Linked DNA regions of Rhinolophus ferrumequinum. The protein of the gene in region 1 interacts with the protein of each later gene in a biochemical or structural test. Links are inferred from orthologs where the notes say so. Each region holds a gene or a part of one and is shown on either strand. Other genes may lie near its edges.

Evidence for each region.
Region 2: the proteins of PTGES3 (region 1) and HSF1 form a complex in vitro, tested with the Homo sapiens proteins (2 studies listed by BioGRID). The link is inferred for Rhinolophus ferrumequinum from reciprocal best matches to the Homo sapiens genes PTGES3 and HSF1.
Region 3: the proteins of PTGES3 (region 1) and TERT form a complex in vitro, tested with the Homo sapiens proteins (2 studies listed by BioGRID). The link is inferred for Rhinolophus ferrumequinum from reciprocal best matches to the Homo sapiens genes PTGES3 and TERT.

Annotation. Positions count from the first base shown.
Region 1 is NC_046293.1:55,858,924-55,866,820, forward strand, and holds the start of PTGES3 (prostaglandin E synthase 3), read right to left. Parts: upstream 3,060-7,897; 5' UTR 2,584-3,059; coding exon 2,582-2,583; intron 1-2,581. UniProt on the Homo sapiens protein: Cytosolic prostaglandin synthase that catalyzes the oxidoreduction of prostaglandin endoperoxide H2 (PGH2) to prostaglandin E2 (PGE2).
Region 2 is NC_046297.1:73,036,398-73,043,923, reverse strand, and holds the start of HSF1 (heat shock factor protein 1), read right to left. Parts: upstream 3,035-7,526; 5' UTR 2,856-3,034; coding exon 2,739-2,855; intron 1-2,738. Other genes in the region: ribosome biogenesis protein BOP1, read left to right, coding at 3,261-3,350, 4,926-5,123. UniProt on the Homo sapiens protein: Functions as a stress-inducible and DNA-binding transcription factor that plays a central role in the transcriptional activation of the heat shock response (HSR), leading to the expression of a large class of molecular chaperones, heat shock proteins (HSPs), that protect cells from cellular insult damage.
Region 3 is NC_046290.1:739,254-746,210, reverse strand, and holds the start of TERT (telomerase reverse transcriptase), read left to right. Parts: upstream 1-3,933; coding exon 3,934-4,152; intron 4,153-4,277; coding exon 4,278-5,598; intron 5,599-6,957. UniProt on the Homo sapiens protein: Telomerase is a ribonucleoprotein enzyme essential for the replication of chromosome termini in most eukaryotes. Active in progenitor and cancer cells. Inactive, or very low activity, in normal somatic cells.

The DNA.
Region 1 (7,897 bases):
ATACAATTAAACAGGAGAATCTTAATTAACAATACCAGTACACACTGGTCTGCACTCAAGTGATTTGTCCATTCCAGTTTCTACTGCATTCTAGTTAAAGTCTAACTAAGAAAAAAGTAAATCCAGTTGCCAAGTTACAGTGGTTAGGAAATCAACACTTAACAAAGGCCATCATCAGTTACTCTTCCTTAACTTACAGAAATTAACTATCTAGCACATGTTCACTATTACAAACTGTTTTGGAGGCTAAAGACTGATTTTATTTTGGGGTCTCAATCTTATAAAGTGGAGTGATGGCAAAGGAAGAAAGATTTTAACCGATGTTAAATAGTCACAGTATGTTTCTGGACAATTTATTAAGTACCAGACTCCAGAAAGAATGACTTCAAATAGCTCAAAATTAATAAAACATTTTCTTTGTATCTATTGTTTATGGGTCCAATTGTTATGGTCCAATTTAGAATTAGAACCAACAAGAGCTAATTTAAAAAAAAAAACAAGTAGTGCCCGCGCCCCACCCCCCAGAGGCTTTGGCTGGGCTTGTCTTAAATGGGCAAAGGGAGGTCCTAAAATCCTAGCCATCTCCAAGGTAGGTGAGAGATTGATGGCTTTTATGTAAACTACTAGACAAAACTTTAAAAATTTGATTAGAAGAAACTTACCTACAAAATCGCTACTAAAGAGAATTCAGTAAGAAAAAACAGACCCTAAAACCCTTAATATATCCAGCATAAATGTCTCTCTCCATATCTAAAAAAATTTTTATAGCAGACATCAACAAAATGATTATCAGACCATTATCAGACAGATTCTTCCTAGGACTGGATGACCCATTAAATGTTTTTTTGCAACTAAGCAACTGACTCATAATATTCACCTTGTAAATTCATTCAAGTCATTATTAGTTCAGTAAGATCCCCTAAAGAATTTGCAAGGTGACATATACTGAATATTTTAAAGAGGATGAAATTATCTGGCCTCTTCAAAACACTCATTTTGAAGTAGCATTCTTATAAACTACATAGAAGGCTTTTGGTATTGGTTGTTACACTTTTAATCCACTTACATAACGTGTCTTACCTACTTTATTTTATATGATCTCTAGAAAACTTCTATTTCAAACCATACTAAATATGGTATTTCTTTGTGAAAAGATATATTTGGCTACATTAGTCTATTAAAAGTTGGTAATGCTCTGAGTATTCATTTTGTACTCATATTTTAAGATTGACAATCCTGCTACATTGTTTAGAAGAGATTTCAAAGGGAAAAACAAAAGCTATTTTACATAGATCAAAATCTATTAGATACCACTTTTAGAGGGGGAAATCCTTCCAAAATGCTAATATATCCCCTTTACAGTAATACATGTGTTCTTCTAGAGGCTTGTTCTCCGACATCAACTCAGAGTGTATCCTTTCCATTTAAAATTCTAGCCCAATATACTCACCGTCAGTTATTATTTTAAATGAAATTGAAAGTGCATTACTTTTTATAGGAATAAAAATTGTTCCCCTTCTATTGCTCTCCGTTAAAAAGGAGAGCAGTTAAAAAACAAAAAACAAAAAAACCCCAAACCTATAAAACCTGCAGTTCTCACATCTGAAAAGGTAAAAACTTTTCCTGAGGAGAATGTGAAAGCGCGGAAGCGGCAGTGCCAAGAATTCTTCCTCGGTTACAATCACCAAGGTTTTCCTACACCATAAAAAAAGAATCTGTAGTTACCCCCACGTAAACACATTTAAGTTCTTTAAAACAAGGCAGTTATATACCTATTTCAAACTTAAATTAAGATAGGATCATGAAACCTCGCACAAAGTTTAACAGAACACTGAAAAATGTCCACAACTATCCTTCGACTCGACACGTGCAGAACTACCTGTTCTATGGTATAACTCCTCGCTGCCAGGGACACGACTGAGTTTAGGCAACCTTCACTCTCTTCGAGAGACCGGAGCTAGGAGGCGGCCTGGAAAGCCCCCCGCCCACTCGCGAAATCACGGCACCCGTGAGAAATGAGTTGTGGTGACGATTTGGCCTCCCTCCGGTTGCCTAGCAGTCCCTTGTCGCTCACGGTGGAGGGCCGCGTGGTGCTCTACGAGGAGCACCACCGGCCTCTGGTAGCACCCACCACAGGTGCACTTGGCCCAGGACCGGCATCTGAGAGCGGCAGAACCAGAACGCCCAAGAAACGAAGTAGCAATCCAAGACGGTCCACGCCTCCAGGGCGCCGCATGGCAAAAAGCTCACAGGAGATTAAGGCCTACAGCTAAGTTCCGGAGAGTTAGGAGCGACCCGAACAGCCCAGGGGAAAAAAGTGGGATTTCCGGCATGGGAAGCTGAAGGACGGTTTAGAGGTGGGGGAAGCGGACATCTGGAGGAAAAATGTCCTCCACCCGCCAACGGTAACCGGAAAAAGGATACTGGACCTCCCACCCCTAGGCAAGAACGACTGCCACCACGGAGGGGAGAAAACTGAGGGGCCGAAAGCGGGGAAGGAGAGGGGGCGCTTTCCGGCAACCCCCAGCGTGGCCTCGGCCTCCCTCTGGGGCGACCATCCCTTGGCGGGTGTCGCACTCACATCGTGAACGGGGCAGGGGGACGGGTAAACGGGTGGGCGGGCCTCTCCGGTGGCAGCTGCTGGGCAATCGACTCCTCTCCGGTGCCGACTCCGGCGTTTTCTCCCCGGTGCGGCCTCTTCTCGCTTCTCTCAGACGAGGGCGGCGGAGGGTTCGACCTGGGTCCCCAGAATGCACCGCGCGGACAGAGCGGCTCCTCCGGTCGGGGAGAAGAGGAAAGTGTAGGAAAAGGGACGCGAGGACGGAGAATGAACGTGCGTGCGTGCGAGCGAGGGCTGGTGAGGCCGGGCGGCGGCTGGTGACGCAGCAAAATGCCCGGGCCCTGCCGCCGCGCCTGCGCACTCTTTGTTTTCAGGCTCCGGCCCGGCTTTCTAGAGATATCTACGGAAAGGGCGGGGCCTCCCAGCTCGTTCGCGATCCTTCCCGGCGCAAGCCCCGCCCTTCGCCCCCGCCCTCCGGCCTGACTTGTTCCCGCCTCTCCTCCCGCGCTCCCTTCTCGCGTTAGAAAACCGTTGGCCACCTAACTGCCTTGCCACGCGCGTTGGGCGACCTACCCGGGAGACTGATGCGTTGACAGCGGGAGGAAGGTTGAGGTGGAGGGACGCACGGAGGCGGGAGGCTTGGAAAGTGAAATGGGGGATTGGTTACTGTGGAGGGAACCCCATCAGCTCACTAAGGATACGTCCACCGCATAAAGATTTGAAAAGAGCGCCTTTCGCTGGTGATACTTGCGAAAAAGGGCTAACTTCAGACTCGAGGGCCTCGGTCCACTTCGCCATTTTTCTGAAGATTGGAGACCCTGCCCAGGGGCAACAGAAATTTGAGGCCTTTGAGGAGGAACGTTTGCCATTGGGGGGCGAGCATTTGCCCCTGCTTCGAGAGATTAGTACTGTAGGTGAGACAGGAAGATTATTTAAGTGGAGAGCCAAGGTTTGTGGAATGGACTAGAACAGTCGTGTCTCCAGGCACATCAGTTGGGGAAGAGTGTTCCCCATCTGTTTTCAACCGATCTCTCCAAGTGCACTGCGGCTTTGTGCAGGGCAATGCAGGATAATAACCAAGAATCAAAACAGTACATGCCTACTCCAGAAGGCCGCGTTTAACAATGGAGTAAGGAAGAAATACAGTGCATCCCTAGGTAGAATACAAAGGAGGTTTATGGAAAGTGCTATAAGACGTTTTTGGAGAAAGTGGGGGTTTCATATTAAACATTAAGCAGTGTCCTGGGTGGTGGGTTAGAGCACAGTGCTCTTAAGGATGCGCGTTTGATCCCCTCATGGGCCACCCGTGAGCTGCGTGCCCTCCACAGCTCTATTGAAATAACTACCTAATTTGGAGCTAATGGATCCTGGAAAAATACACTTAGAATAAATTTTTTTAAAAAAGGATTTAGTGTCTATGCTGTGCAAGGCAGGTATTGGGAACAACTGGACCCTGTGCCCAAATCCTGTTAAAATGGAAAGTTAAATCCCAGCTCTCAAATAGTGATTCTAAGGAGCCTACTGCCTGTTAGGGGAAATAAATACACAAATCAGGATAATGGGAGTACAAAAAGTAGTGGGAGAATGAAAGGAGGAGAGGTCGAAAGGAGGAGATACCGATATTGACTGGAACAATTAGGACAGGCCTCCTTAATAAAAATTACCCAAAATATGGAAATAGGCAAGGAGTAGAGGGATGACCTTTCAGTTCATACAGGGATGTGGTTTAACCTGTTTGCCCAATGATTAGTCTCTAGGAGGGAGATACCTGCGTTTGACTTTGCTATTCAATACATGATTGGAGCTCAAATATTGTGAAGTTACTTGTTAAGTTGTAGACTTCTGACTGACAGAAAAGCTAACCCCAAAGTTACGGTTTTGTTGCTCTGTAAGACAGTTTCCTTTAACTTATTACCTTATTCTATTTATTTTTATGCCTATAAATACCTACTTCCTTAAATGCTCCTGGAACCAGCTTTACCATCTTACTGGTTCTGTCAATAAGTTAAATGTCTGGCTCACGTTAATTTTATATTTGTGGGAGAATCATGTTTTAAATTTTTTTTTTTATAAACTTTTTTTTAAAGATTTTATTGGGGCAAGGGAACAGGACTTTATTGGGGAACAGTGTGTACTTCCAGGACTTTTTTTTCCAAGTCAAGTGGTTGTCCTTTCAATCTTAGTTGTAGAGGGTGCCGTTCAGCTTCAAGTTGTTGTCCTTTCAGTCTTAGTTGTGGAGGGCACAGCTTAGCTCCAGGTCCAGTTGCCGTTGCTAGTTGCAGGGGGCACAGCCCACCATCCCTTGCGGGAGTCGAACCGGCAACCTTGTGGTTGAGAGGACACATTCCAACCAACTGAGCCATCTGGGAGCTCAGCGGCAGCTCAGCTCAATCTTAGTTGCAGTGGGCGCACCCCCAACATCCCTTGTGGGAGTCAAACCGGCAACTTTGTGGTTGAGAGGATGCGCTCCAACCAACTGAGCCATCTGAAAGGCAGCTCAGCTCAAGGTGCCGTGTTCAATTTTAGTTGCAGGGGGTGCTGCCCACCATCCCTTGCGGGACTCGAAGAATTGAACTGGCAACCTTGTGGTTGAGAGCCCACTGGCCCATGTGAGAATCGAACCAGCAGCCTTCGGAGTTAGGAGCATGGAGCTCTAACCGCCTGAGCCACTGGGCGGGCCCCAAAAACTGGCTTTCAGAAAAGAAGTTTTTGAAAATTCAGACCTGTTGCTTCCGAATTCATATTGTATACCCCTGTTGGGCATATTTCAAGTGGGTTCATGTTAGTGTAACTCTGGAAATGGCTACTCACCCAGAAGTTGCACAAATACTGTAGTTATCAGGTTTATCCATGGCTTTGCATGTTATCACAACCATTAGCTGGTGGGGACCCAAGTTGTACCAGGTTCTTGTTTTTGTTTTTTCACATTCACTAACAAGTTCTGTTTCTAGTAGGGCCCCAAATCTAGATTCAAACATGTATGAGGTCTGACACTTAAGTTCGCAAACTCATCCTAGAAAAAGTGCTATATACCTCATTGCTGAATATCACTACAGTCACCTTCGAAGTATTCCCCTTGGGAATCTATACACCAATGCCAGCGCCCAGTCCACCCTTCAAAGCAATTTTGGAACTCTCCGGAATGGCCATCAGAGTTGTCATATTACCCTATATCCTGAATATCATCAAAATGTCTTCCTTTCAATATTTGCTTTATCTTGAGGTAAAGAAGTCATTGGGGGCCAGATTAGGTGAGTTAGGGAGGTTAACTGTATCCAATACAGTTATTTGTTTACTGGCTAAAAACTCCCTCACAGACAGTGCCATGTGAGCTGGTGCATTGTCATAATGCAGAACCATGAATTGTTGGCAAAAAGTTCAGGTTGTTTTCGTCTAACTTTTTCACGCAATTTTTTTAGCACTTCCAAATAGTACACTTGGTTAGCTGTTTGTCCAGTTGGTACAAATTCATAATGAATAATCCCTCTGATATCAAAAAAGGTTAGCAACATCGTTTCGATTCTTCATTTGGACTGACAGAACTTTTTTGGTAGCAGAGAATGGTCTGACTTCCATTGTGCACGTTGACACTTTGTTTCAGGGTCGTATTGGTACACCCATGTTCCATCACCAGTGATAACACAGCCCAAAACATCGTCTTGCCTCTCCAAAAGGTCTTGGCAAACTTCAACTCTCCTTTGCTTTTATTCATCAGTGAGCTCCTTTGGGACCATTTTAGCACACACCTTTCTCATGCCAAGATTTTCAGTTAAGATTTTCCTAACTGTTTCTTTTTAAACTTTTATTTATTTAAGTGTGTTTTTCCCAGGACCCATCAGCTCCAAGCCAAGTAGTTGTTTCAGTCTAGTTGTGGAGGGCGCAGCTCACAAGTGGCCCATGTGGGGATCGAAAGAGCAACCTTGTTAAGAGCACCACGCTCTAACCAACTGAGCTAACCGGCCGCCGATACTATTTGTCTATCAATGTTTACTTGGTCTGCTATGTTTTTCACAGTCAGCCAGTGATTTTGGTGCACAATTTGATGAATTTTTGCAATGTTTTTGTTAGTTCTGCTAGTTATTGCCTGCCCTGACCGCTCTTCATCAATGAGGCGTTCTCTCCCCTCAGAAAAACGTTTAATCCATTTGTATACCTCCGTTTCCTTCACGGAATTATCCCCATAAACTTGGACATGTCCCTGATTTCACTTACACTCTTGCCAAGTTTAACAAGGAATTTAATGTTTGTTCTTGGCCAGCCCAATATCTCAGGCGGTTGGAGCTCCATTCTCTTAACGCCAAAGGCTGCTGGTTAAATTCCCACATGGGCCAGTGGGCTCTCAATCACAAGGTTGCCAGTTCAATTCCTCGACTCCCACAAGGGATGGTGGGCAGCGCCCCCTGCAACTAAGATTGAACATGGCACCTTGAGCTGAGCTGCCGCTGAGCTCCCAGATGGCTCAGTTGGTTGGAGCGTGTCCTCTCAACCACAAGGTTGCTGGTTCAACTGGGGGCGGACCCCCTGCAACTAACAATGGCAACTGGACCTGGAGCTGAGCTGTACCCTCCACAAATAAGATTGAAAGAACAACAACTTGACTTAGAAAAAGTCCTGGAAGTACACACTGTTCCCCAATAAAGTCCTGTAAAACAAAAAATGTTTGTTGGTTGCTCTAATTCAAGCTCAGACATTCTTGTGACGGTGCACAAAAACACAGAACAATAATGAACGCCACTCAGCAAGACACCGCCACACGTCCACATGAACACAGCTGTGAGACACTGATACACCAAGGTTATGAAACCTTCCCGAGCTGTTTGTACAGCGCTGCCAATGTAAGCGCACGGTGGCAAGTTGGCAAACTTGTCATACCTCGTATAGCTATAGTGTCAGGGCTTTGGGGAGAGAACTCTGCAATCCAAATTGGCAGAAATTAGACAATACTTGACAAGTATTAGATACCATTTCACAAGTTTAATCCTAACAGTCTCCTAAGAGAAAAGAAATTCCCAGGCCAATTTTTTGTTAAATTCAGAAACTCCTTATCTATTATCATTGTAGCATGCTCCTTCTCTCTGATATTTTTCTGAGGACTGAATTTAAATGTGTACACAGTCACTAATAGCAAAAAAGATCTTTATAAATTGACATGAGCAATTTTTTAAAAAGTTTATAACAGATGAGAACAGTCCAGTTTTATGAGGGAGTTTTCTACTGTGTTTCCCCAAAAATAAGACCTAGCCAGACAATCAACTCTAATATGTCTTTTGGAGCAAAAATTAATATAAGTAAAATAAGACCCGGTCTTATATTAATTTTTGCTCCAAATTTAATGCA
Region 2 (7,526 bases), on another chromosome or scaffold:
CACCTCGGTCTGCTGCTGGGGTAACCTGGGATGATCCCTCAGCATTCTGGGTCAACCCACAGGGCCTGCTGGGTCCCGCCCAGCTGGCTTGGTGAGAACAAACTCAGGGGGCTTGCCGGCCCACCCGCTCTGAGCCTGGGAGGAGTGTGGTGCCCGCCTGTCAGAGGAGCTCTGACAACAGTCTATGGCCAGCTCTGAGTGCCCAGGTATGGCCAGGCCAATTCCTCGAGTGGTCTCATGGGGAGCTGGTGACCTAACCTCAGGAACTGTTCTGCCCCAGACCCTCAAGTGACCCTCTGACTACTGGCACTCACGGGCCACCTGGCATGGGCCCTGGCCTTGGCGACCTCCAGCTGCTAGGTTTCTGGGATTTCCCCCAGCCTCCACACAACCCCATTAGGGTTGTTCCTGCTTCCAAAGAGGAGAGAACTGCACCGGCCAGTGTGGGAGCGGGGTGAGGCCAGGCAGACATCAGGCGCCAACACTGAAGCAGGGCCTCCAAGTACAGGTGGACTAAACGAGAAGTGCTCCTTACTTACACAGCCCGGAGCCCCAGACTAGAAGGGCTGATTCACAGAACACCTGGGTGGGCTTGCAGAGGAGGGGGACAGCACAGACTGCAGGTTGGGAGAGCTGTGGCCCATCCTGGGCCACGTTTGAGGTCACCAAACACCCTCCTAGGGCGCCAGCGGCAGTGTCCTGCAGGATCTGTTTGGGGAGCAGCTGCGAATCTAAAAGCCCCACACAGTGTGCGTCTGTAATTGCACCAGGATTTGGGGCAGCGACCTGTTGGTCTGTCCCTCATGCTGGGCAGAGGACACACAATGCTGTCCGCACCTGGCCCCACAGGCCAGTTTCTGCAGCTGGAAGCGCCCCTCCACCGCTGGTTACTCAACCTGGAGAGTCAGCCTCTAACTTTCCCTCGTCCTCTGGGGCAAAGGCAGATGGTTTCTCCTAACAGAGTGGTGAGAAAACTTCCAGCACTAAGGGGAAAGCACTGTGAGCATGGACGTCGGAGCCTCCCACAGACTCAGAGCCAGACTCTGGGCCGTGAGTCTGCCCAAGACCCAGGGTGGACCCCTGACAGAGGCCGCAAGGCCTGTGTGGGCGTCCTTAAGGCCACAGACACAGGACCACCTCCTTCTCTGGCCCAGTAGCTCCACAGCCCCTGTGCAGCCCAGAAAAGGGCTTCCTTCTGCTCTTGAGCTAGAGCTCCCCAGTGTCCTGCACCCAGCACACCCTGCCCGACTTGCCAACAAACCAGGTAGGAGTGACACTCAGTATCAGCCGCTCACCCCTGTGGAGAGCTGGCCAACAGGCCTCACGGGCGGTGTGGCCACTGCGAGGGGCAGCTGTCACAGGCCTGATCGTATCTGACTTTCCTGTTCCAAACAAAGGCTTTGCCCAGAACACGGCTGCAGGTCCTGGAGAATATGCTGGCAGTTCTACACATACACACCTCACAATCTTTGAGATCAAGGGGCAGGACGGATCATCCTAGCAGGATTAAGCTTGGAATATCCCAGAGGATCTCTGACGCCCCTCCCCAAGCTGGGTTAAGAGTGTTCCCTGAGAATTAAGGGGAAGGAAAAAGAGAATGGCAGGATATAAGAAATGGAGAGTGGCTTGTTTTGGTCAGGAAAGTTTGAGGTCTCAAACAAGGGGATGGTGGTCACGTGACAGCCCATGAGAAAGCAGCCTGCCCTTCTTTGGGACTCGACTGGCCATTAAATAAATACGCACCGGAGGATGGAGAACACACACAAAGCTGTCACTGTGACCAACAAAAAAGTATCTCCAACAGGAACGCTGCATGACTTCCAGTCTCTTTACTCCGAACCACTCTACAGGCAGGGCAGAGCTTCAGCAAACAGCCCAAGAATGAGAAACTGGCCTCCAGCTAAGGGCTAGGTTCCATCCAGACTTTTCCTCATTCCTAATGACTTAACAGTATGGGAAGGACAGCCATAGAAGTCTGAGAAACCCCGCCCTACTTGCTGGGCACACACGTTTTGGCCCTCAGTAGGTCAAGCATGTGTGGAGGTGACCAAAGGCTTTGTACCACCAGGACCGCCTTTCCCATGGACTATGGCTCTGGCCTTGCCCCGACCCCACGTCACAGCAGGATGTAAACAGCACTCTCATCTCCAAGTCCAGACACAGTCTCTGATTTACTTCTACAAACCAGAGCTGTCCAGTCTCGCAGTCAGACTATGTAAACAAGCCTGCTGCCAAGCAACTGGACAGAGACGTGAATAAAGACGCCCTGTGAGGAATGTAAAACAAAGCAGCTCTCGGGAACCCCAGCTCTGGCATCTGGACACGGGTTCGAGATCAACCTGAACTTTAGGACGTTTTACTTTCTGCTTTCTCCTTCTGCACTCGAGCAACGCCCTCCGGCTCATGCGCCCAGTCCTGATATTTTCGGAGGAGCTGCCTACCACGCCACCCTGGTAACTACCTGAGAAGATATAGAAAGGCACCTGGACACGACGTTCGCTAACGAAACCGTGTGCTGTTCAGAGGACAGACACACCTCCGCAGTTGTTCCACAATTAGCAAAAGCCCAAAGATGGAGAGGCCCTTTCTCTCCACCCCAGGGAAACTTGGCGCGGGCAGGAGCCGGCGAGAAGCGGGCCACGGACGCTTCTCCTCCGGCTGGGCTCCCCGCCCCTACTCGGGCAGGCGAGGTTGGGAGCCGGCCCAGCCCCCGCCCGGCGACGCGCCCCACCCCTCACCGGGCTCCAGCAGATAAGCGCGTCGGTGTCCGGGTCGCTCACGAGGGTCCACAGCTTGGTCAGGAAGGCCGGGACGTTGCTGGGCCCCGCCGCACCGGGGCCCACGGGTAGATCCATAACGGGCAAGGCAGGGAGAGGTGGAAGTACCGACCGCGAAAAGACGCCGAAGGCCGGGCTAGCGCCGCCGCAGGGTCTGCAGCCCGGGCCGCGCTGCCGCCGCCCGCTGCGCACACACAACTCCGGGGCCTAGCATGGCCGCCGCCATCTTGCGACGCGCGCGCTCCCGCCGGCGCCGCCCGCCCGCGTCCCCAGTACGCGCGCACGCCGGCCCCGCCCTGGCTTTCGGGCCCCGGCCCCGCCCCGGCCTCCGTGCGCCTGCGCGTGTCTGCCCTGCCCTGCCTCACCAATCAGGCCTCGCGGGGCTGGCCGGCCGCGCCCTCTGACCCCGCGGGCCCCGCCCTCCAGCCCACGCGCCAGGTCGCTGCCGGAAGTGGCGGCGCAGGTCGGAACCCGCGGGGAAGCATGGCGGGCGCGCGGGGCGCTGCGCGCGAGGCGGCGGCGGGATCGCGGTCGGAGAAGCGGCCTCCGGAGCCGGAGCCACAGCCGGAGGAGGTGACAGCGGGCTGCGCGGGACGGTAGAGGGAGTGGGGCGGCGCGATCTGGGGCCGCGCGGCGCGGGTCACACGTGGTGGCTGAGGGCGTGAGGCCGACCCAGCGTGCAGCGGGCCTGGGGACGCGAGGAAGAACGGGCGCCTGCCCTGTGCTGGAGGTGGCCCTGAGGGGGCCTACGCGGAAAGCACCCCCTGCGCAGAGGGCGGCTGGAATGGGCGTGGGGCGGATCTGTGCGGTGGACTAACTGTCTGAGCGAGGGAGAAATAGGAAGGGGAGCTGGTACCCTGTGCAGCAGCCCCTCAAACCCTTTGATTTATGCATTCTCCCATGAGAAAGACTAGCTTATACTCGCAGTAAACACATACATGTTTATACACCACTTACATGTTAGCTACGTTGTGAAAATAAAAGAGGATTCGAGAATGAGGACGCGTGACTAGAACGCAGTGCCGGCGGCATCTGACGTAGTTTTAGCTGGACCCATGGCTGCTAATGCTGTCTGGCTGAACCCCCAGCTCCGTTGTTGGGGGTGTCACCAAATCTGTGTTGTAGGAGGCGTGTACAGGGGACCGTCTCAGCTGACTCCATTTAGCTGGGTGATCAAGCTGCCCTTCACTTTGTGACATGTCCTCCTGCTGCACCCGGCCCCAGCAGGTGGCTCTGGGCTGCTCGCGCCCCTTGGCTCTGTACTCAGCAGGAGCAGTTCCCGCTTGGTGCCAAACCATTGACGCTGTTTTCACTTGCTGCTGTAATTGCGTAGCTAAGTAAATGTTAGAGATAAGCAGCTGAGTGCCTGTGTATCAGAGTCACTTCTGTGAAAACTAAGTCGAGTGCTACAGAACGACTGTTCTGTGCAGGCTGTCCAATTAGGTGAGACTTGCAAGTATTTAAAAACAGTAAAACCAAGGACTCTGCAGTCCTGTCCTTCCGAAAAGTCTGTGAGTTCTTGTTCCGCTTTTAAAGGGAACGACAGACCCGCTCACTGTGTTTCGTGTCCTGTAGAATTAGGGATGAGATGTTGTCTACTCAGGAAAAGCTCTGGTCCTACCCAGGAGGGGCAAATGGGTGGTACCTGTTTTTAAGTCAGGCTTGTCTCATTTTTATCACCCTTCACCCAAGCACTACATCCACTGTCGGTCTCAACCTGGTTGAATACGAAGGCTTCTACTTCCGGTGGCAAAAGCCCCTCAGGCGTTCTGGTCCTCTGCTGGCACCAGCCTCCGCCTGGTGCCCTCAAAGCTCTGGGGCTTTGGATGCCAGGGTGGGCCGTGGATGGTAGAGAGCTGGTGTTGGTGATGCGATGGGCACTGGGCTCTGAGAAGGGGACATTGTTCTTGACAGTCCTTCCCGTGTGAGATTCTTGGAGTTAAATGTCCCTTCCAAGGGCAGGAGCCCACGCTGATGGCAGAGGTGGACAGTGAGGAAGGCCCGAGTTGGGTGCCTGGTTTTGATGGAGGTGTAGGCTTGTGACCTGAGGGCTGTGGCCTTGGAGGCTGGCCACACAGAACTGTGGGTCATCATGCGACCTGGGGCGCAGCTGTCTGGTCTGGCTGACGTTGACACTGTTTCTTGCAGCCCTCTCTCCTTGCCCCTGCTCCCAGCCTTGGGGATAGCAGCGATTCTGGCCTCTCCGACAGTGACAGTGAGGAGAGTGTATTCTCAGGCCTGGAAGATTCCGGAACTGACAGCAGTGAGTACTCCGCTGAGGGAGAGGATGGGGCCAGCAGCAGTGGTGAGGGCCACAGCGTGACAGAAAAGACCACTGAGCAGCAGGTAGGTGAGCCAGGACCTCCTGGGGGTTCTCCCTTCTAGATGAAGGTGGCCAGGAAGGAAAGTGCCTGCCAGGTCTTGGGCTCTTTGGGGGAGCTGCCCCCACACTGCTTTCTCCAAGTTCCCTTAGGAACCCGTAGGCCTTCGTCCCTCTTCCAATGCACTGGGTCCCATTTGGGACTAGTTGGGACACTTGTTTGAAGCTGGGGTGCTCCGAGCTCTAGGGTACTGGTTTTCAACCACACTATGTGCTCCGTTCACAGGAACTCCAAAAATCGTGATGCTTGGGCCTCCCCTCAAGTGAATGATGTCCCATCTTCATGGGACTGAGCCCACATTGCTAGACTCAGTCACAGGCTGGCTTTCATAGGGGCAAAGCCTGAGGTGGGGATTCATGTGCAAGTGACTGCCTGGGGACACATGAGGGAGCCAGTGAGCAGGAAAGTCAACCTCCCCCACCCCTGCCTGACCCCCGGGGCCCTGTTCTGTGATGGGGAAGGGTGCACCCTGCTCTGGTCTGAAGCTAGAGAAACGAGAGACAAGCTTAATTAACCGAAGTAGATTTGTTGCTTAGTATGTTCTAGAAATAAGTTTATAACTTTATACTTTCACTGGCTCTGGTGTTCTGGAAGTTAAGACCTTGACTTGTACAGAAGTCTATCCCATAATGGGAACCAGGAGGCCATGTTGTTTGATCTGTTTACTTAAGAAGAGAAGATTTAAAATCAGACATAAACCTCCACCCATCTGAGCTTCCCCTGTGTGCACAGCTGGGTGCTCTGCAGTGCTTTGTGGCCCAGAAGAGAGCAGTGCCCCCCTTCTCCAGAGCGCTGGGGCCTGAGCCCCCCTGGGGGGGCAGCCCTCTGCCACAGCCAAACTGTGTCCCCTTTGGAGCCAGGACCTGGCGCTTCCCTTCCCAGAAGCTGTGCTGGGGCAGGCTTCTCCTGCAGGGGCTCCCACCAGTGAGGTGGCCCCTCCTGTTCACACCCAGGCCCTGAGGGCTGACTTGGACGCAGCCCTGCCAGTCTGGTCTCTGGCTGCTTGTGCTCTAGCTCAGGGTATAGTCAGCCCGTCACAGGACTTTCTGTTCCAAAGCTCGGTCTTCATGACTGGGTTCCAGCTTCTCCAGGCCCGGGCAGAACTGCGGAGGTGGCTCCCCCATCTCCCCTTTCCACCTGCTCCTCAAGGCCGTCTGCACCCTCCACCTGGCCGAGCTGCTCATTCCCTCCACAGCCCCGCTCACAGCCCTCTTGGGGTCGTCTGAGTCCATGTCCATCACGAAGCCCCGCTGGTGGAAACTGAGCCAGCAGGCCAGTCGCTGCTTCCTGCACATTCTGCGGGCTGCCAGGAGTGACCCCTGGGACAGCCCGGTCATGCACAATATTGGTGGCCCCTGGTCAGGCCTGTCCCTCTTGTCCTGGAGCCAGCCGAGGGCTGCTTGCTGGCGTGGAACCTTCCGGCCACAGAGGGGGAGGACAGGCCCTCTGGGGTTTCTGCTGGCCCACCTTTACCTGCCACGCTGGTGGGCTGTCACATGTCACACCATGGAACTTCTGCCCAGACCTTCTTGCCACTGGGGGTGGGTCCTGAACACATGCTCCCCTTCCGTCGAACAGCTTCTTACCACCATGAGCTCTGCGAGCCTGTGCCAGTAGCGACCCACTCACTTCTGTGTGTCTGCCACATGCCCAGCTCGGACAGAAAGCCCCCGGGGTTCTGTGCCACATGGCCACGGCCACCACGTGGTCCTGCAGATACTCAGTGGTCTAACGTGAGCTACTTTGCAAGCAAAAGAGACCCTGGCCTGGGGCCACCAGAGAGTGAGCTGACTTCTGGGATGAGAGCACGAAACCCGAGACATTTCTCCGGCTACTGTCTGACTCTTAGCAGGCTGCTCATGCTTGCAGGTCTCTGCTGACTCGTGCTGTGTGCCCCCAACGGTCACTTAGATCGTTGCTGCTTTCTCAACACTCCGTTGGCCAGACCTTCCTACCAAGGCTGGGTGGGCGGGTCCCCCTTGAGCACTCGCCTTCGTGCGTCTGAAGAGCACTTTGTCCGGCTGTCAGGCTGCAGGCTGGTGTCAGGCCAACGACTGGTCCTGAGGCGTGAGTGAGCAGGGAGAAGGCCTATTGGGTGCGATCCTCAGGGCTGTCCCCGTGTAGCAGATGTCCTGCGACCAGGGGCTGAGGTCCCCACAGGTGGGATCTAGTTGGTTTGCTTCACTGTCTGGTGGTTCTGTATCTCGTAGGTCATGTTCAGGGACCCCCACTCCATAAATCTATGGAGTCCAGGTGTTTGACATGGTGGCCCAGACAGACCATGGCTATCCTACTGAAAGCCTTCCATGGGTCAGGGCCTCTCACAGCAGGGGGCCATTGCATGTTCCCGTGGGCCCCTCGCTGGGCC
Region 3 (6,957 bases), on another chromosome or scaffold:
ACCGGGTCCTGCTCTTGGCTTGCCAGGAACCAGCACATGGCTGGGCCTGGACGCGGACTCCACAAAGGGAGCTATTTAAGGGCTTAAATCTGTAAGTAAATTCCACCTTCCAGCATCCCAGCGGCTAATTTTATCTTACTGCTTTCTTAAATTCCATCCAATGCCTTTCAACAGTGCGGAAACCCAAAGGTGTACCGTGGGAGCTGACTGTTTGCCAAGGTGCAGGAGTCAACACCAGCCCTCAGCGGTTCTGAGCCCTGAGCACTTCTTACTGGTTTTCTTAAGGCGGTTTAAGGTGCAAGAGAAAGTACACGAGGAGATGGAAGTGGGTCAGGAAGGATTAACGCGGTGAGGCGGCTAAGGCCAGGAGATCAAAGGTCTCCTCTGGCTAAGGAAGTGGGAAAACAGGACAGTGTTCCCGGGAGCTGCCAAGCTGGGCACAGCCAAGGCGTCCGAGCTCCCATGGACCCTCGTGAACCGGTGGGGCCATGTCCCCTGAAGTCCCACCCTGTCCTAGCTGGGCCATTTCCCTGATGCTAGCCGGCTGCACTGAGGGAACGCTGGCCGTGGACATGGAGACCCTGGGTTTGTGTTCCGGCTCTGCCCCAAATTGTCAGGGATTTTCAGGAAGTCTGCACCTCTGAACCTGTAAGAAAGGATGCTGACAGTTGTCCACCTGCTTCCAAGGGCTGCACGGTGATATGAGCTGATGTGCCAAAAATGATGTGTGAATTGTAAAGCGCTCTATAAAGGAAGACCATTAGTCATGTTATTTACCTTTACCACTAAGAATTAAACGTTCCAGTAACCTCTTCTGCGTGACAAATCACGAGAAAACAGGCACAGCAACCACTGTTTTATTACTGTTTTATTGTGCTCACAGAGACCCGTCCAGACCCCCGACTGAAGACGAGATGGGGGTTGCTGTGAGCCTCGGTTGGGGTAACAACAGCAGCTGGCACAATCGGTTCTTGGATTCAGGGGACCTGGGAGACAGGACTGAGGGGTGCAGAGGTCCTGTAGTGCAGCCCCCACCGCGACCCAGGACCCTGGCTGTGTGGCCACACTGCTGTCCTCTGCTCTGTTCCCCTCCCAGCAGGTCCCCTGGCTCCTCTACCACTTTGCCTCTCCAGAAAACACTTTCTAAACCCGCCCACCACTGTCCCCTCTTCACTCCAAATCTAGTTCCAAGGACATTGTCTGTCTTTCTACATTGCCAACATTCTTTGAGCTGGAACCTGCCTTGTGCCTGGAGTGCCATCTGGGCCCCTCCTGGGCCCCCCACCCGTCCCCAGGTTGTCAGGCCTCAGGACCATGTGACAGTTCATCTGGTTTTCACCCCTATCAGAGGGGCTACGGTAAGAACTAGTGACATCGCCAAATGCAGGCGAGGACACACAAGTCTGCACAGGTGATCAAATGACAGCAAATTGGCCACACACTGTACCAGGGCCAGCGTTCTGGCTCTGGTTTACTGTTGCCTGAGTTATGGGAGACTAAGCATGGGTGCCGGAGAGGACAGGAGACAGAGCCCGTTCTCTCTGCCACGTGGGTGTCCTGGGCTCCATAACGCTCCCCAGATGCCACATCCTGGTCCTGTAGCCTTCCAGCGTGACGTCCCCCAGCACAAGGGACTTTGCGGATGGCAGAATATGGTGGGCTCTGAGGTGGGGAGGTGCCATGGATCAGCCTGTGGTCCCTGTGAGAGGGAGGCAGCAGGTCAGGGTCGGGACGAGATGTGACAAAAGCTCGGAGGAGGCGGCGCTGAGTGAGGCTCTTCCAGTGTCCGGTCCTCACGCCCTCACTGGGTCTGGGGTCACGCGGCCCTGCCCTTCTGCAGGCAAAGGGTCTGTTGACCAGGTCTGGTGTTTATACTGCTTGTGGTCACCACTCAGAGACCTGGCACTGTGCTCGTTTGGCTGCCATCCAGACCCTCTTTGCCCTGATTCTGCAATCCGGCATCTTCAGGCCTCATCCAGCTGCAGATCTGAGACTTGAGCCCTATGGGTGGGGCACGCACCGGGCAGGACGCATGCCACGCGATGGGCATACACAGTACCAGAGCACCTCACTGCAGCCTGTCCCCACACACAGGCCCCCACCGTGCTTTGGCTCCTGGCACAGAATCCGCTGTTTAGAAACTTCAGGGTGTGTGAAGCCCGTACACTGCCTTGCGGAAGATTTCGAAGGGGCTTGCTGGTTGTATTTGATCTTAAACAACAACGCAGCTTTTTTCACGTCATATGATGCAAGGACGTAAGGCCGTCCCTCACTTCTCAGAGACAAACCCGCAGACCCTGCAATACGGAAGGGCACTCTGGATGGGAGCGAGTTCCATCAAACTGGGGGCTTTTCTCACATGCACATGGTACTAACCACACGCCTGTCAGTTTCTGTCTCAGTTTATTCTCTTCTTTTTTTGATTATGTTTTCAGGCTGGTTTCTCCGGGTGAACCAGAGCAACTTCAAAAAGAACAAATATCCTGAAGCAGCCCCAAATCCTCTAGCGGCAGAAGCGAGGAAGTGCTCTCGCTCTGTGGGCTCTGGAAGAGCAGAGCCCATCATCCCCAGGATTACCAGGTGGGCAGACCCCACAGAGCTCCACGAACCTGAATCATCATCTGTCTGTCAAGGGAGGGAAAGCGGAGGCCTGTTTAAATGCTACGGCCATGAATAGAAGCAATTTCCTGACCACGTTTCTCACCACTGTGAAAGGTTAACATTTGTTCAGCCGTGCAGTGTTTGCCAAACTCAGACGTCTCCTCCACGAGCCTCCCCAGACCTGGAAGTTTCCCCTCTCAGCGATTCAAAGTTGAACATCCCACAGCATCTGCATTTGGGTGGAATCTCATTAGGGTGACTCCTCTGAACTGTCTTGTTCACACGACCAGCCGCTATCACAACTGTCCCCCTGAGCCTGGGGAGGGTCTCTGCTGCGTGGTGGGTAGCCAGGGGCTCCTGGTTCTTTCTGGGGCTGCCAGGTTGTAGGCAGGTCCCCGATGTGTCCACTCTCACCTTCCACCCACGGCATGGAGGGCATGAAGGGACCATGACAAGTGTGAGGAGCCTGCAGATGGTGCCAGGCAGGGCACCTGTGGCTCCACTTTCTCCCCTCCCACTGGCAGACTGACCAGATCCTGACGAACAGGAAATTGATGTGAAATTTTTTGTTTATGGTCGGGACAAAAGAAATCTAAAAAGCCAAAGAAAAACTACAGCCCTGGGTCAAGCAGACCTAGTCCCGCGGGGCGACTGCCCTGCCGGCGACCACTACCCATTTCCTGCTCCCAGCACCGGGACGAGCTCCAGGAGCTCCAGGAGTCCAATGAGGATGCGCCTGGGCCCTCCATTTCCCCAGGCCCATCTGGCCAGAGTGCTGGCGTCCATTCTCTCCTTTGTACACTGTCCTGCTTCTTTCAAACCCCTCTGCTGGACCCCAACGCAACCCTCTGTGCCAGGGTCACGGCCCACGTGAGAAAGTGACAAACCAGAAGGACCCTTTCCCCAGGGGGCGAAGAGTGCATCAGGTCCCCCGGGCCCTCCGCCCACCCCCGGTTATGGTCCCCTTCCTTGGGTACCCCCAGAGCCTCTCCAATGTGCCACCCTCGCTGCGAGCCCTGCACCCTGGGAGGGGTCTCAGCACACGGATGGGGAGGCTGCCCGGTGCAGCTGCGCGGTGAGGACACGCCGTGTCCATGTTGAAATCCGGCACCAACACCTGGGACCTGCCAACCGGGTGGGGAGGGAAGGTAAAGCGCTGAACACCTATAGCCCGCGACCCCGCCCCTTCCTCCCCCAGCCCCGCCCCTCCCCGCGGACCCCGTCAGCCCCGCCCCTTCCTCCACGTGCACCGCCCTCCGCCGGGACCCCTACTCGCCGCGTGGCTCTGGCGCCTGTGGTCCCCGCACGTGGGAGCCCCGCCCGCCTCCCGCGATGCCGCGAGCGCCCCGGTGCCGCGCCGTGCGCGCCCTGCTGCGGAGCCGCTACCGCGAGGTGCTGCCGCTGGCCACGTTCGCGAGGCGCCTGGGGCCCGAGGGCCGGCGTCTCGTGCAGCGCGGGGACCCGGCCGCCTTCCGCTCGTTGGTGGCCCAGTGCCTAGTGTGCGTGCCCTGGGACGCGCAGCCGCCTCCAGCCGCCCCGGACTTCCGCCAGGTGGGCTGCCCGGGTACCGGTGGGGCCTGCGGGGTGGGGGTCGGGCCGTGGGGAACGAGGCCGGACGCGGCTGCGCACCGGATCCCGGACACTTCCGTCCCCAGTGACTTGGGACCCCCCCCCAGGTGTCCTCCCTGAAGGAGCTGGTGGCCAGGGTCGTGCAGAGGCTCTGCGAGCGCGGCGCGAGGAACGTGCTGGCCTTCGGCTTCGCGCTGCTGGACGGGTTCCGCGGCGGCCCGCCCGTGGCCTTCACGACCAACGTGCACAGCTACGTGCCCAACACAGTGACCGACACGCTGCGCGGCAGCGGCGCGTGGGGGCTGCTGCTGCGCCGCCTGGGCGACGACGTGCTCACCCACCTGCTGGCACGCTGCGCGCTCTACGTGCTGGTGGCCCCGAGCTGCGCCTACCAGGTGTGCGGGCCGCCGCTCTACGACCTGTTCACCACGCGACACGCGGGCCTCGAACCAATACGCCGGGCCTGGACCGGCGGCGGCAGGGAGGCCGGGAGACAACGGGGCCTGCAAGCCCCCGGCGCTAGGCGGCGTCCGGCCAGCGTGGAGGAAAGTCCGCCTCAGGCCAAGAGGCCCAGGCGCGGCCCGGTCCCCGTCCCGCAGCCGAAACCAGACCGAGGACCTGACCGGCAGGCGCCCCGGGCCCACCTGGGCAGGGCGCGTGGGCCGGGTGACCGAGAGCCCAGCGCCGTGACACCTACCAGAGTCGCCGTGGAAGCCGCGTCTGGGGAGAGCGAGCCGCGCAGGACCGGTCGGCCCTTCCCACTGCTCCGAGGCGAGCGAGAAGCCAGCTGCCCATCCTCTGGGCGGTCGCGTCCCCAGGAAGCGCTCGGTCCCCGAGCGTTCGCTGATACCAAGCATTTCCTCTACTGCTCCGGTGGTGGAGAACGCCTGCGCTCCTCCTTCCTGCTCAGCTCCCTGCGGCCCAGCCTGGCGGGGGCCCGGAGGCTTGTGGAGACCATCTTTCTGGACTCCAGGCCCCTGCAGCCGGGGGCTCCCCGCAGGACGCGCCGCCTGCCCGCGCGCTACTGGCAGATGAGGCCCCTGTTCCGGGAGCTGCTTGCCAACCATGCGCGGTGCCCCTACGGCAGGCTCCTCAGGACACACTGCCCGCTGCGGGACACCCCAGTGGGGTCCGGAGACCAGGGGCACAGTGGAGCGGGCGCCTGCGGCCCGGAGGAGGACGCGGGCCCGCGGCGCCTGGTCCAGCTGCTCCGCCAACACAGCAGCCCCTGGCACGTGTATGGGCTCCTGCGGGCCTGTCTTCGCCGCCTGGTGCCCGCAGGCCTCTGGGGCTCCAGGCACAATGAGCGCCGCTTCTTGAAGAACGTGAAGAAGTTCGTTTCTCTGGGGAAGCATGCCAAGCTCTCGCTGCAGGAGCTGACCTGGAAGATGAAAGTGCAGGACTGCGCCTGGCTGTGCCAGAAACCAGGTGAGGAGGCGGGTGGCTGGCGCCGCAGCCCCCGGCCCCACAGCCCCGCAGCAGGGGTGCCGCGGGGTGGCTCCCTCCCAGTCTCTGCCTCTGAGCCGCTCTCCCACCCCGTTTGCATCAGCCTGCTTTCATGCACTCAGGCAGGTTGTGGGAGCTGGAGGTGGGCAGTGCGTGGACGGACTTGGGGAGTGGGCTGTGGCAACAGGATGGACGCGCGGGTGGACGCGGGGCTCGCTCTCGTGAGCATGCCTGAACATCGTCCATAGCCCCTGACTTCAAGGTTTATCACCACGAAGTGGTCCCCACTGACAGAAATGGAGGTTGGGGCGAAACCCTCTTTTGTGGGCGTGGGAGATAAAGCTCCTGGCTTTGGGACAGCATTCGGTCAGCCCACACACAGATCCGAATTTAAGTTTAATCAAGCCTCTGCTGTGCCAGGGTGGACGGCCGAGTGGAAAGGCTGCCCTGCTCCAGGGCCCCAGCCATCTTTAGGAGGGAGAGGGTCACCAGGGAGCAGAGGGAGCCGCGGGGCGCCGTCCCGTGTCAAGGAGTGGGCTGCCACCGTGGGTGCCTGCAGGACGTTTTCTGTGAAGTTGGCTTTTGGTGCTCCCCACCCCCACCCATTTGCTTTTTCTGGGCTTGGTGATGAGGTTCCTCCAGTCCAGCCACCACTCAGCCCCCTCGGCGGCGTCCTCGTCTGCGCACCAGCGCCAGGGTGGAAGGACCAGCCACCCTCCCAGCTCCCCCCACTGGAGCAGTGGCGAGGACAGACCTGCGTTTTGCCATTTGACCTCCCTCAACTCCTGAGACGCTTACAGAAGAAAGATGGTTCAGAGCCCTTTGCTACAGCCGGGCGTGGCTGCACGGCAAGGCTCCCGGGATCGGGACCCTAAAATGCCCATCCCCACAAGATCCCCACGCGGCAGTGTCCTCTGGCAGCAGTGGGGGGAGGGGAGGGGGGCAGCACACCCTTTCAGGCTCCCAAGAGACGCCAGGGCCAGGTGAGGGGGACAGCAAGGTGACCTTCGGCAACTTGGTGTTTTTGTTTTAATGGTGGGGGGATAAAACCCACCGTGAGAGCTCCCCCTTAACCACGTTGGTGTGTGTGTGTGTACAGGACGACACTGCTAAGTGACAGCACAGGTGACCCTCGGGTGTGTGAGCCTCAGTCGAGTCAGCAGTTATGCGACTCGCTTTATCCTGCAGCTCGGCTGCAGCTGTGTTCCCCGGTTTCAGGCAGTGTTAGCCCAGGCGGCTGGGACCCAGGCGCTGGACCTCTGGTGCCCTCGGTCACTTGTACCCCAGACATCTGCTGCTTCCGTGGCTTCAGCCATGCCCGTTGCCCCCTGGCTGAAAAAT